Arabidopsis thaliana: one gene and its partners. The protein of the gene in region 1 interacts with the protein of each later gene in a pairwise test. Each region holds a gene or a part of one and is shown on either strand. Other genes may lie near its edges.

What was found. Proteins that work in one complex are often made in the same cells at the same time.
Region 2: the proteins of UFO (region 1) and SK14 interact in a two-hybrid assay, tested with the Arabidopsis thaliana proteins (3 studies listed by BioGRID).
Region 3: the proteins of UFO (region 1) and SK11 interact in binary tests that used the Arabidopsis thaliana proteins (3 or more experiments, as listed by UniProt).

The regions. Positions count from the first base shown.
Region 1 is NC_003070.9:11,032,908-11,038,902, reverse strand, and holds UFO (F-box family protein), read right to left. Parts: upstream 2,912-5,995; 5' UTR 2,724-2,911; coding exon 1,395-2,723; downstream 1-1,394. Other genes in the region: AT1G30960 (GTP-binding family protein), read left to right, coding at 317-475, 570-744, 838-977, 1,064-1,148. UniProt on the Arabidopsis thaliana protein: Component of SCF(ASK-cullin-F-box) E3 ubiquitin ligase complexes, which may mediate the ubiquitination and subsequent proteasomal degradation of target proteins. Considered as a meristem identity factor required for normal growth of the young floral meristem.
Region 2 is NC_003071.7:959,711-963,284, reverse strand, and holds SK14 (SKP1-like 14), read right to left. Parts: upstream 1,978-3,574; 5' UTR 1,964-1,977; coding exon 1,514-1,963; downstream 1-1,513. Other genes in the region: AT2G03180 (uncharacterized protein), read right to left, coding at 159-521; SK19 (SKP1-like 19), read right to left, coding at 3,038-3,574. UniProt on the Arabidopsis thaliana protein: Involved in ubiquitination and subsequent proteasomal degradation of target proteins. Together with CUL1, RBX1 and a F-box protein, it forms a SCF E3 ubiquitin ligase complex. The functional specificity of this complex depends on the type of F-box protein.
Region 3 is NC_003075.7:16,377,262-16,381,041, forward strand, and holds SK11 (SKP1-like 11), read left to right. Parts: upstream 1-1,741; coding exon 1,742-2,200; 3' UTR 2,201-2,267; downstream 2,268-3,780. Other genes in the region: AT4G34215 (carbohydrate esterase, putative (DUF303)), read right to left, coding at 2,942-3,133, 3,341-3,780. UniProt on the Arabidopsis thaliana protein: Involved in ubiquitination and subsequent proteasomal degradation of target proteins. Together with CUL1, RBX1 and a F-box protein, it forms a SCF E3 ubiquitin ligase complex. The functional specificity of this complex depends on the type of F-box protein.

The DNA of each region.
Region 1 (5,995 bases):
TTTTGTACTTTGTTAGCTTTACATAAGTTATCTCGGAACTGAGAGTAGTATGGTTATGAGCATCATCATCAAGTGGGGTATCTTAGGGTGGGATTATTATTTCTAGCTTCTCTGTTTCGATATCTTTCATATCTTGTTCATCTCTCCGAGATTATCCATAAGCTTGAGAACCGTAAACCGATGGGAAGACACATCTATTTCTTTCTTTTGAAGAAGGCATCATGACTGTGGTTTTTCATTAATTACAAGTAGAAATAGAGTTCTCTTAGACTTATTTTGTAGTTTGTGAATTCTGTTTTCTCTTTGATTTATCTAGTCCCGATTCAAGAGTGGTACGCTTGATCAAATACATGGGAGAAGAAGAAAATCCGAAACAAAAGCGCGTTTTATGTATGAACAAAGTTGATCTGGTTGAGAAGAAAAAGGATCTATTAAAGGTTGCTGAGGAGTTCCAAGATCTTCCGGCATATGAAAGGTGGATATATATATACCAGACTCAGTTTAAAAACAATTACCGGGGAAGTCTTCGAATTGATTGAAATGTGCTTTTTCCCTGTTTGGTTTTCTAGATACTTCATGATATCGGGACTTAAGGGATCAGGAGTGAAAGATCTTTCCCAATACTTAATGGATCAGGCTGTTAAAAAACCATGGGAAGAAGATGCATTCACGATGAGTGAAGAAGTCTTGAAGAACATTTCTCTTGAAGTTGTTAGGGAGAGATTACTAGACCATGTCCATCAGGTAATAATACAACCTCTACTAGTATAACATTTTGTATCAGTTTCCGTCTATTCCAAGATGACAAATTACAGGATTGATTGAAACAAATTGTAGGAAATACCATATGGTCTGGAGCACCGTCTAGTGGACTGGAAAGAGCTGCGTGACGGGTCTCTTAGAATTGAACAGCATCTCATCACTCCTAAACTTAGCCAACGCAAGATTCTTGTAGGCAAGGGCGGTTGCAAGATCGGGTAAGAGCATACAAGATCGTTCATAATTCATTCTTTTGACTAATCAATGACTCAAGGATGATCTTATGTTGATGCTAATTTTGCAGGAGGATAGGAATTGAGGCCAATGAAGAACTCAGGAGAATAATGAACCGCAAAGTTCATCTCATTCTCCAGGTTAAGCTCAAGTGAAACCATTCTCCCAAGGGTTATGTTTTTGAGTTTGATGGATTTAGGATTGGATTGTACGCAATTAGAAATCTGTCTGTATATGTTGTTGACATGTTGTCAAAGATTAGACATTTGACATTAGAAATATAAACTTACTACATACAGACAGTAATAAGATAAAAGAAACAGAATTTTGAGAAAACAACAAGCAGTCTTAACGTCAGAAGTGGAAACCACAAGTAGTCTCTTTATCTTAAAGTCTAAAAACTAACAGACTCCAGGAAATGGAAGTGTTAACTGATCAAGAAGACTAACCACCGGTGTAGTAAGCACCGGGTCATAAGCAAAACCCTGCAAGACCTCTCCGTCTGAACCGCCACCTGAGCTACCGCCACCACTGCCGGAGTAAGGACACGGTGGGACCCACAGCCAGCTTTTTCTCACTATATCAAACAGCAACTGCAACGAGGTTCCTCTTAACACAATCATTACAAACTCTTGATTTCCGACACACTCGAATCCTTTTCCACCTTCTTCTGCTGCAAACTGTGTGTAGAGCGGCTGAGGCATCCGTTCGATCTCGACCCATGTGGCGTTATCTTGTTGCAAACTCCAAAGTCGTAGGCTTTTGGGAACGTTCAACTTGCTTTTCTCAACAGCTGCTACAAGAATAAGCCTCCCTTTGCTCTCTAACAAGCTTGGAGATCTGAGAAATCTCCTCATCGGAGCTTGAATCTTGATCCACCGGTTTCCAGTAACTTCATAGGACAAAACGCTAAAAGGGCTATAGTTCATACAGTAAAACTTGCCTTGCACGTAAACCATCTTACCAGATTCCAAGCTACAAAGCCGTGGCAAAGAAGAAGTCATCGCCCAGAGGGAAAAGAATCCGCCGGCGTCGACATGGAAACTCTCCGATGAGAGGTTTTTCACAGCGTAAGGAGATATGAGATCATCTCCAGCGACAGTAACATCAATAGAGGTTGGTGTTACCGAGAGACCTATCGAAGGGAAAAGCCTTGGCCTTGATATTGGTGGCAACTGACTCACGGATCCGACAAGAGGGTTACACAAGAGAATGGTTTTAAGACCAGCTTCTTCGGAGACCCAACTCACTAACCCTCCTGATGATCCTGAAGGATAAAACCCTGAAGGGATATAAGCAAAAGAGAGACGGTACCATCGGATCTCATTAGGATCAAACAAAAAGCCTTCAGCTTTATTGGAATCATCATCGTTTGTTCCTCCTCTCTTGTAAATGTAACTCTTTAGGGTTTTGTGTTTGAAGAAGAGGAAACAGTTGTGTCGGAGAGGAAGTAGTTGTAGATATGTCTCGAGGAAGGTGTTGGAGAAAAGTAGACTGTAGAATCTCTTGCAGACGCAACGTGTCCGGAAAAACGCCGGAGGTGGAAGAAAAGCAATGACGCGGTCAAGAAGAGGAGGTGGTAGCTTGCTCCAAATCCGACCGTCCATCCATTGACCGGAGCTTGAGTCTGTGGTGGTGCTCGTTGTTGTGCTACTGTTGCTGCTACTGGTAAATGTGTAAGAGAAAGGTAAGGTTAAAGATGGGTTATTGATGAACACAGTTGAATCCATTTTAGCTGAAAAATGAAAAGATTTGGTGAAAGTGGATTTAGAGTTTATTTTCTTGTGTTGGGAATATGTGAAGGGCTTTTGAGGAGGGTTTTGGTGAAAGTTATGCAAAACCCATTGTAGGAAAAGAGGCAAAGATCATATGTAAAAGTTTTGAAGAAAGAGACAAAAGTGTTTGGTCTTTCTCTGTGAGCTTCTTGCATGGGTTTTTGATATGTTCTTGACTTCAATAGAGTAAGGTGGCATATACTTATATATAAAGAACATTTGGTATAAAACAAACAAAGGTAATGGATTTATACAAATAGAAAACATATATTATATTGAATAGAAAAAGAAATAGTGTTTCTTTATTGTTAAAAAGGTATAGTAGTAAGTAAGTAGTGACACACCAACCAAAAAAAAAATAACTCAGAAATTTATGTTTATTTTCTATCAACGTAAAAGATTATATATGTTAATGTTTTAGTTGATAGCTTAGCTTACAGACGTTTTTCTATTTGTGTGCTGACAAAAAGAGATTGGAAGTAAAAAATCAGTTGATATATGTTGTTATTTTCTAAACAGAAATAATAAAATACGTCTAAAAAACTAAACCGGTCAAGTGGCCAAGACAAGAGAAATAGGTTTAATTCCAAATAATCTAAATTTCACAAGAAAATTGGATATATATTTTTAATATTAAAGTGTGTTTCGAATATATATAACGGATGTACTTTGTTATCATACGAACCTAGAACATCAACAAGCACAAGTATCCAAAAGCCTTGTTATAACCCCAGTTTGGTGATAATTATTGACTAACAAAATTTTGTTTGTATATGTGTGTGTTTGGGTAAACGTGAAAATGGTGGCAGAGGAAGTGATGGTCTTAAAGTTGAGAGCTTCAGAGTTATCTTGTCAATGCCCAGCATCGAAATTATTAATTTGGAGACTACTCCAATACTTTTCACACTTGATCACATCTTCAAATCTTTTTTCTTTCTTTCTTTTTCCTCTCTAATTTGTAATATACAACTTTTATTACATGCACGCTTCTCAACTTCTATAATGGTCAGTCAAATTGTACTCGTGGAGATCAACCCAAGAAAACTAGAGATTATTAAGATCATTTTTTTACTTATATATTATATCAAGCCAATTAGAATTACTTTATATGTTAATATATATGTGTGTTTTATTCTAAATAAATTAGTTGGTTCTCTAATGTCATAGAAGTGCATTTATTCTAAATAATTTTGTTGGAGGAGACCACATTATCTTATTCGAACTCAACACAAAATTTGACAATATCTACTTTTTTAGTTTCTAATTATTTGATGTTTTGAGTTATTTTTACTTGTTCGACCAAAATTAATGTTTTATAAAAATATTGTTATTATTTTTGCTTGTGACTAATAATAAAAAAAGAAAAATAAAATTACTAAACTAACAAAAAAATAATTTTATAAAAATAGAAAACATATTTTTTATTAATTTCTATCTAAAATCCAAAACATCAAATAAAGAGGAACATAGTGAGTATGGTTTTAAAAGACTCCAACAATAAAACTTCCATCTAGGAAGAAAAACTGATAACATGTATAACACACAAGAATGTTATTTCTAAACATGAGAAATAGATATACACAAAATTTAATATGAATTATGATGCATTTTTGTCATGTGATCCAGTTTGTTCCTAAATTATAGCAGAAATAGCTCTTAGTTTATCCCCTTTTTTTAAAGAGTAAACAAACAAACTATATGTTAGTATGTTACCCTTATTTGATGTTGTTGCAATTTAATGTGAAACAATTCATTATATACACTATATATATATATATAGTGATTATTTTTTCTTATAAATTGTAAACTCTTTCAAACTCTAAAACCTCCAAGTCCAAGATAATGAACTTCTTGTTTAGGGAAAATAAAACTAGCTTTCATACAAATCTCAAATATATCAATTTACATCTAATTTGCAAACAAAAGAATTTTAGACATCACAAAACATTTACAACTCAATTTCTAATTAATTCTTTATCCAGAAAAAAAATTCTTATATTAATCATTGCTAGCTATAATCAAGGTTTAGAAATAAATAAAAGGAGTTTGGATTTTTTGAGATTAGGGTTAGAGAGACATCATGACTGAAAATAAAGAAGAAGAAAGAGTGAAGAGTAGAGTCAGATCAAAAGTCCAATCAGGGTTTCTTATTTAAGGCATTGTTTACCGTGAAAATAATAATACAAGTGAGAATATCTGAAGCTGACAAGTCGCAAAAGGGTAATAATATTCTCTATTTGCAGTAACTCAAGAGGCTTCGCTTTTGTTTGTGTTTTGATGCTAAAGGAAGTCTCTGAAACCAAACAGTGTCTTGTTTTTATCAAATCATCTATCTTCCCATTTCCCAACTAGGTTTTGTTTAACTTTGAATTACGCTTACAAGTCGTACCCATAATAAATAGTCTGATTTAACATTAAAGCATAAACTTTTAATGAAGCATCTCTTTCTAAACTTAATAATAAAACATAATCTGATTTTATTTTGTCGCCCACATTAACTGATTCGAAACTCCATTCATGCCATTATGTAGTTTTATTTACACACATGTGTTAATTGGTACGTAGTAGAGTTATGGATATAAATTTCCGGCCCAAAGTGGAAATTGATATTGTAATTTGTAAGAAGAACTAGTTTACGGCCAGCGTTATGCGCGGACAAATTAGTTAGAATCAATTAAATAATTATATTTTGTAAATGTCTTTACATCATTAGAAGATCAAACAATTTTGTAAAGCATAATGCATATATTAAAAAGTTTGGATATTTCTTGATTAATTGAAATCGGGTCTAATAGTTATAGTGGTTAAACCTCTGAACATATTTCATTAGTTTAACAGAACTGGTATATGACATGAGAACTTTACACACGTTCGGTTATAAGTACGACATGCAAACTGAAAACCAGATATTTTAAACCGTTTTTGTGACATTATTTGCGTCTAGTACATATGTGCTTATGTGTCTAACTTGTTTCCTCCACGTACCAAGGCATACCACACCTATAGAAAAATGCAAAACCATTTTTAGTATAGTTACCGACAATCACTCATCAACTTTCCAAAAGAAAACAAATAGAGTTAAATTCAAAGAAAAACGTTTATTTTTATTTTGAATATAATTTAACATTAAATTCAAAAAGATAAAAGGTAGTTGTGTCCAGAACTTGACTTGAGATCAATTTGATTGAGGTACTAATTTTCGAGAGGGATAGAAAATGCAATTATTA
Region 2 (3,574 bases), on another chromosome or scaffold:
CTAAGCCATACGCTCCTTCTCTACGGAAATTAATTCATGAAACCAAAAGCTTGAAGAAATTCAGCATTATGAGCCCGTCTTTACGGAACGATGATTACCGAAGTTTTCTCAATCCTTTAAATCCATTTCCTCTGAATTCTGAGCTCATGTATATGACATTACACAACATCTGCGATTGGTGGTTTTTCTAGGATTATAAAGCAATCTTTAGTAATTCTTAAGGTGAGCAACTCTTTAGGCTCGACAAGCTCTTGATCAATTTGCAAACCTTTCAAAGTTTGAAGAATAACGGCATTTTGACTGCATCTCCAAGGAGAAGTAGTTACCGAATCTTCGACAATCTCTCTTATCCGGCAGCTTCTTCCGTGGAACGTTTTCTTAAAAGCTTGTATGCGTTGTTCGCTCGAGCCATCTATAACCACATGGTGGTCGAGGAATTTGTGAAGTCTGTCTTTATGGGCGAACCCAATTTTTGCTTCAACAGATTTTTTAATCTTTGCAAACTCTTTAAAGATGAGCATCTTTTTGAAAAACTCATGGAGCCATTATCTCTCCTCCTTTTGTGTTTTTTTCAGTTTCTATTTGTATGAACATCCCTCTTTTAGGTTTTAAGTAAATTAAAGTTGTTTGACAAAACAAAAAAGAAAGCCCATACGCTCCTATCTCTCTGCCTCTCTCTCTTTTTCTCTCGCTTTATGATGTTTTCTACGTAATAAGTGTTGATATGGGCCTTGGGACGCTTCATATGAGATTGGATAAGTTTTCAACAAAATTTACGACCAAAAAGATTGCATGGCAAAATTCAACTGAATAGTATTAATTTGCATATTAACATCCTCTCGCATGAATTTTCTTTCAGTATATCGTCCGTATATTTTAATATCATAAAATAATAAATCGCTCTAAGAAAATCTTAACCTCTCAATTATCAACCCGAAAAGAAAAAAAAGAATATTAAAACGAAGTATTTTATTCCCATCCTAGATTTGGGAAGGAAAAGGAAAAAAATAAATAATAATAATATAAACTAAATTATTTTGTACGTATAACTATATATAAATATTAAATAGGAGCCTAAAAATAAATAGTAATTTCTTATCGCTATTATATAGTTTAATAAACAAATTAAGAAGGATATTCAAAGATACGGAGAAACCCTAGGCAGGGCCAATCATTTAGTTCCCAACAAAAAAAAGAGAACGGCGGCGATATTATGTTCTATTCTACGCCGGAGAAGATTCCGAATCGCCGGAGGTTTTTAGTGGACGATTCGATTTTCACTCTAAAACGAACAAGATTGCTAAAGCATCTATTTATTGATCACCATAATAGAGAGTAAGGTAAAGAACTAACAACGAAATCAAAGTCATCAATCACACCACTTGAATAAGCCAAAATATAAAATCATTCACGAAATCGAAATATGGAAAACCAAAAAAAAAAGAGAGACGAAAGTCATCAAAACCCTAAAACCGACAATAAGAAACGAAACCAAAAACTAGGGTTTTGGTGTCTATTCAAAAGCCCATGCGTTTTCCTTGCGAACCGCTGCTTCTTCTTCGGGTGTGAAATCGTTCTCGATGTTGAAGATTTCTCGAATTTCCTCTGGAGTCTTATCTTTGATGCGATCTGCAACGGTTTGAGCAGAGAGATCAAGAAGGCCTTTGATATTGAGATAGTTAGCAGCGAGCAAGAGTTGGAAGACCGTAGGCTGATCAAATTTCTTCATGAACTCTTCGTCCCAAGTCTTGAACTCGTCGCTTTCTTCGTCAACGACGTGTTTCTTGCAATACTCGACAACAATGGAGAGGATCTTTCCGGTGACGTTTTGAAGAGGGACCTCGGTAACAACACAGTCGTCTTCAATCATGTGTTCCACGATTTTCAGTTTTCTTGCCACCGCTTCTTCAACCTCGAAAGATTCGCCATCGGAGCTAGACAAAACAATCTTGTTGGAAGACATGTTTGTTCGTTTTTGAGATTTTGGGTGATGAAAAGAATAATATTGGTTATGATTTATGCAAAGATATTGAATGGAATAGAGAGGAGTCGATGAAGGCGTCTATTTATAAAATATTTTAAGAGTCGGTCAATTGTGTTTTCCTTTTCACAATACTGGAAGAGAAGAAAAGCAAATCTTCCAAATCTCTAGTGTTTAGCCTTAAAACTTTTGGGCTTAAAAGTAAAAACCGACGTCTTAGTAAAAGAGTTTATCAGGAGATTCTAGAAACTTATTTAACATACAAAAAGAGTTTTTTTCCTAAACATGGCTATTTTCTATGAAAATTTTGTATGACATTTTATTTATTTAATTAATTTGTCCATCTTACTTAGAATTGAATTTAATTGATTAATTATTAATCTAATTATAGGATAAGAGTCTATAAATTAAGTTTTGTAATCAGTTGCGTTCTTTTAGTTTATTAGGTTTTAATTTTCTACTTTTATTTGAATAACTACTAATTAGAAGAGTAAATCTCAAATTAAATAATCTCTATTGATCTAGCTAGATTCGAGCCTCGATCAAAACAGTACATAAAAAAATAAATTGTTCTAAGAAAAATCATAAATAACCTCGTAAATATATATACATGTTTGTATATAAGAAATTCTTGATAACTAGCATAAGAAAAGAAAAAAAGAAAAACTTTGATTCATACGAACTAATAATTTTAAGAAAAAGAGAAAATAATAGGAAGTTTTTTAACGGCGGCGACTTTTTTTTACTACGTTACAACCGGAGAAAGAATTCGGAATTGCCGGAGGATTTGGGTGGACGATTCTCTTTAATTTTTTCATAATTTTGGTGGACGATTCATTAGTTGAGATTTAATCCGCTTCACTCTAAAAGATAGCTAAAGCTAAAGCATATTTATTGATCATCATTCATCATAATAGTGCAAGAAAATTGGTCAATTAAGTAAAGAAAGACTTAACAACGAAATTAAAGAGACCAATCAATCCCACACACACTTGAGAAAACAGAAACAAATCATACATGTAAAAGGAAAAAAGAAAAAAGAAACGAAGCAAAAAGCTAGGGTTTTGGAACTTGTTGTTTTCCATCTTGCTCAAAAGTCCAAGCGTTTTCATTGCGAATTGCTTCTTCTTCTTCAGGTGTGAAATCATTCTCGATGTTAAAGAGTTCTCGAACTTCCTCTGGCGTCATATCTTTTATGTAATCTGCAATGGTCTTGCTACAGAGATCAAAAAGACCTTGGACGTTGAGATAGTTAGCAGCCAGAATAATGTCGAAGATCGTCTTAATATCGAAATCCTTCATGAACTTTGCATCCCACTCATTAAGCTTCTCCTTCTTATCCTCAGCTTCATCATCTCCTTCAGTTGATTCAGGTACGGCCACATCATCAGGCTTCTTCTTCGCCTCCTCAACTGTTTTATCTCCTTTCGTCGATGATTCATGCGTCTCCACCACGTCATCATCGTCTTCAACGTGTTTCTTGCAGTACTCGATAACCTTGGCGAGAATCTCTCCGGTAACGTTTGGAATAGGGATTTTGTTTGTAGCACAGTCGTCTTCGATAATGTGTCCTACGATCTGCAGTTTTCTTGC
Region 3 (3,780 bases), on another chromosome or scaffold:
ACTAGTAAACGAGGCCATACACTAGAGGGAGAGCCGCACTTTTTAGTATTTGAAAACAAATTGAAGACTTCAAATTTAAATTGAATTGGACTTTCTTTTTGAAAAAACTCGAGAGTTTTAGTTTTCAGGGCAAGTGATTTGTTTGTGTCAACTTACACACATGTAAATACATCAATTGTGAGGAGGAATATTTGAAAGGATATACTGATGGCTGTGACGTAAGTATAATTTATTGCACGTGAAAGATTTGCTTAGTGTGTCTTTGCAACTGCTTAGATGCATTGTTTTTGGTAGGTCGACCTGTTGACACCCCCCGTATAGTATTCAACGCAGCCGCGCGTGGATGGGTGTACTGTTGAATCTTCGTATATCTTTTGGTTTATTTTGGTTTACTCAACTGAAATTACCTTTTATGAAAAATGAGTCGACAATTAATTTACTTTTTTTTTTTTTTTTTCATTCTTTCATTTTAACCCAACCATGGTAAAGTTACAACAGCATAATAAAACTCATATAAAGGCCCAGCAACATAAAATTACTTATTTCTTTCAGTTAAGGAAAATAAGTATTTCGTTATTTTTTTAATTGCTTTTTTTTTTAGAAACAATAACTATCTATATATACATTTTTGCAGCCACTTTAACAAATAAATCTTCACTTAGCACTTATTTACTATGGCATGCCATTGACATTTATTATTTTACTAAACTTATTTTTAAATATAAATATAAAATCTATTATGTTACTAAAATTTATGAAATTAAAAAAAAAAAAAACATTTAAATCTTTCCAATTAGCATTAATCACCCTGATTTTTCGTTTTACATCATTTATTTTCAGTTAATAAAATGAATCAAATCTTATATTACAATATATGCTTTAATATTTTCATTAAAAAAATAATTGCGTAATAAAATTTGAAACCCTAATTATTTCTCAATCAACATTTTTCGTTTCAATTGTACTAAATAATTTTGCTCTTTTTTGGCAAAAATAAATTGTACATGTATTAAGTTGATATTGCAGATTCAAAAAATATTAACAAATGCCTAAATTTAGGTTATTAAAATAAAAAATAGTTAGTTAAAAACACAAGTATATCAATCCCAAATTATGATTAAATTAAATATTTATTTATAATAATTTTTACCAAAAAATAACATTATATATATTAAAATTTTTGAAGTACTTTTTAAAGTACTTTTGTGTTAGTAAAGTAAGAATTTACAAAGAATGTCATCACATTAAAGTCAAAAACAATTATTATTTTTAAAGAATATTAGTGATATATTTTACCTTTATGAAACATTATTAATATTTAAACATAAAAAATTAAAATATCATGAGACGGGAAGTATAGCAGAACGGGTTTGGATTGATAGGAAATACATCGAGACGGGTTTGGATTGATATAACACAGGTAAAATATTTATTTTATTATTTTATCATCACTAATTTTTTTAATTACAAGATTAATATAAAATTATATAACTTTATTACTAAATATAAAATTATAAAATTTAAAATTATTATATATATAAATAAAATATTTGTCCGTAGTGTACCACGCGTTGAATTATAATATGTTGTTGTCACCGACTCTAGCTAGGGCTTATAAATACAAAGACGCATAGGGTTTCACAACTTCATCACCTTAACACAATTTGTTCGCTCTCTAAATTCTTAAATCTTTCATCAAATTTGCTTCACAGTGAAAAACCTCCTCCACAAGGAACACACAATGTCTTCGAAGATGATCGTGTTGATGAGCTCCGATGGTCAGTCGTTTGAGGTGGAAGAAGCGGTAGCAATCCAATCGCAGACCATAGCGCATATGGTTGAAGACGATTGCGTTGCTGATGGAATCCCTCTTGCAAACGTGGAAAGCAAGATTCTTGTGAAAGTGATCGAGTACTGCAAGAAACACCACGTCGACGAGGCTAATCCTATCTCTGAAGAGGATCTCAACAACTGGGACGAGAAGTTCATGGATCTCGAACAATCCACCATCTTTGAACTCATCCTTGCTGCGAATTACCTCAACATAAAAAGCTTGCTTGATCTCACATGCCAAACTGTTGCGGACATGATCAAAGGCAAGACTCCAGAGGAGATTCGTTCAACTTTCAACATTGAGAATGATTTTACACCTGAGGAAGAAGAAGCTGTTCGTAAGGAGAATCAATGGGCTTTTGAATGAGCCCATGAATCAAAACCCTAACTAGCTTTCTTTTTCTTTTTTTCGTTTTTTAGTGTTTTCTTTTTAACGTCTTGATCGATTATGATAACTTTGTCTACATCTTTATTATGATTTGTGTTTCTTTTTATGAGAAAAAAACTTGAACCATGAATGACTAATCCGTAGGAAAGTTATCGGCCATGTCTATTAGTAGTTGCAATGTAGATAATAATGTGACAAACGGAAAGAATATTATGTGTGCTCTACATGGATAACAAATTTACATATAATCAGTACCATCGTCCATCACTTAGACTGCATATCACCTCTTGGGAGATGTAGACAAACAAACATTAAACTGCTAGAACACACTGAAAATACCACAATTTCTCACCAATACCCGATCGTCAACCTGACAAAAACAATTATCCATCACCAATACAACATTAAACTTCTCTATGGTTTTATTTGACTTTCTAGTCTATGAAATATACTTATGTATAGTGGAGTGCAACGATATCATTATTCGTAACTTCAATTGATCCTAGAGTTATAATGAACGAAGGACTAAAACAGAGCTGCTAATAATATTTTAGATCGATTTCAGAATCCACCAGTATCTAGAGCAAACTAATTGTTCTTCACTATGAACATCAATGTTTTACCAATCCATTATTACAAAGTTTTGTGATATCCATATAACTAGTCCACCACACACATTCAGAAAGATTCATGAACCTTATCACGAACTTACTTGATTGTCTAGCAGAAGTTGGAAAGGTAAGCTTGAGCTAAGGAGAGACCAAGCTGGACTTGAGCCTCGGTGGTTAAGTGAAGATTGTCGGACTTTAGCGGCAATCCCTTAGCATCTACACAGACCACATTCGACAGTTTCAGTCCCAACTGTGCTTCTCTCACCTTATCTATGTATCCTCCTCCCGATGCTATTGCCACCTGCTTCAATCAAAACCATCAAGATTAACCAATGGAAATCTGACCTACCGATTTCTAAAAGACAAAATCACTTGCAACAACTGATATGTACATTGTAAAAGCCTAAAATTACATAATCTGCAACTTAACTCTTTCACCAATAACACAACGTCACAACCTATGTAGATGTGACATTGGAAGCTAAAATCGCACAAAGGATAGAGAGACCTGAATAATGGGAAGAGAAGGAAGGTTGAGATCATGACGGAGGTTCTTAATCAAACGATCCATATTGTTCCCGTAGCTCTCGGCGTCATGGATGTCCAACACGTCACTCTCTCCTTGATACCACAACACCGCCTTGATCTCTCCGCCGCATTTCCTACTCTCCTCCGTTCTCTTGACCATCCTCTCGTACAAGTGGCTTCCACGCTCCCACTCTTTTATCGCCGTTCCACCGGAAGCGCACGGCACCAACCCGATCACAGCCGAATCTGTTTCCAGGCGATTCTTCACCGCGTTAGCGAACGCCATTCCTGGACCTACTCCACACACTTTACCTGTGTCAATGTCAACGTGTAGTGGCTCGTGTGCTTCTTCCCACCGGAGATCTGCGGACAGGCGGAGGATCGATGAGTTTGGTGCGCATTCCGGTGGAAGGATTTTAT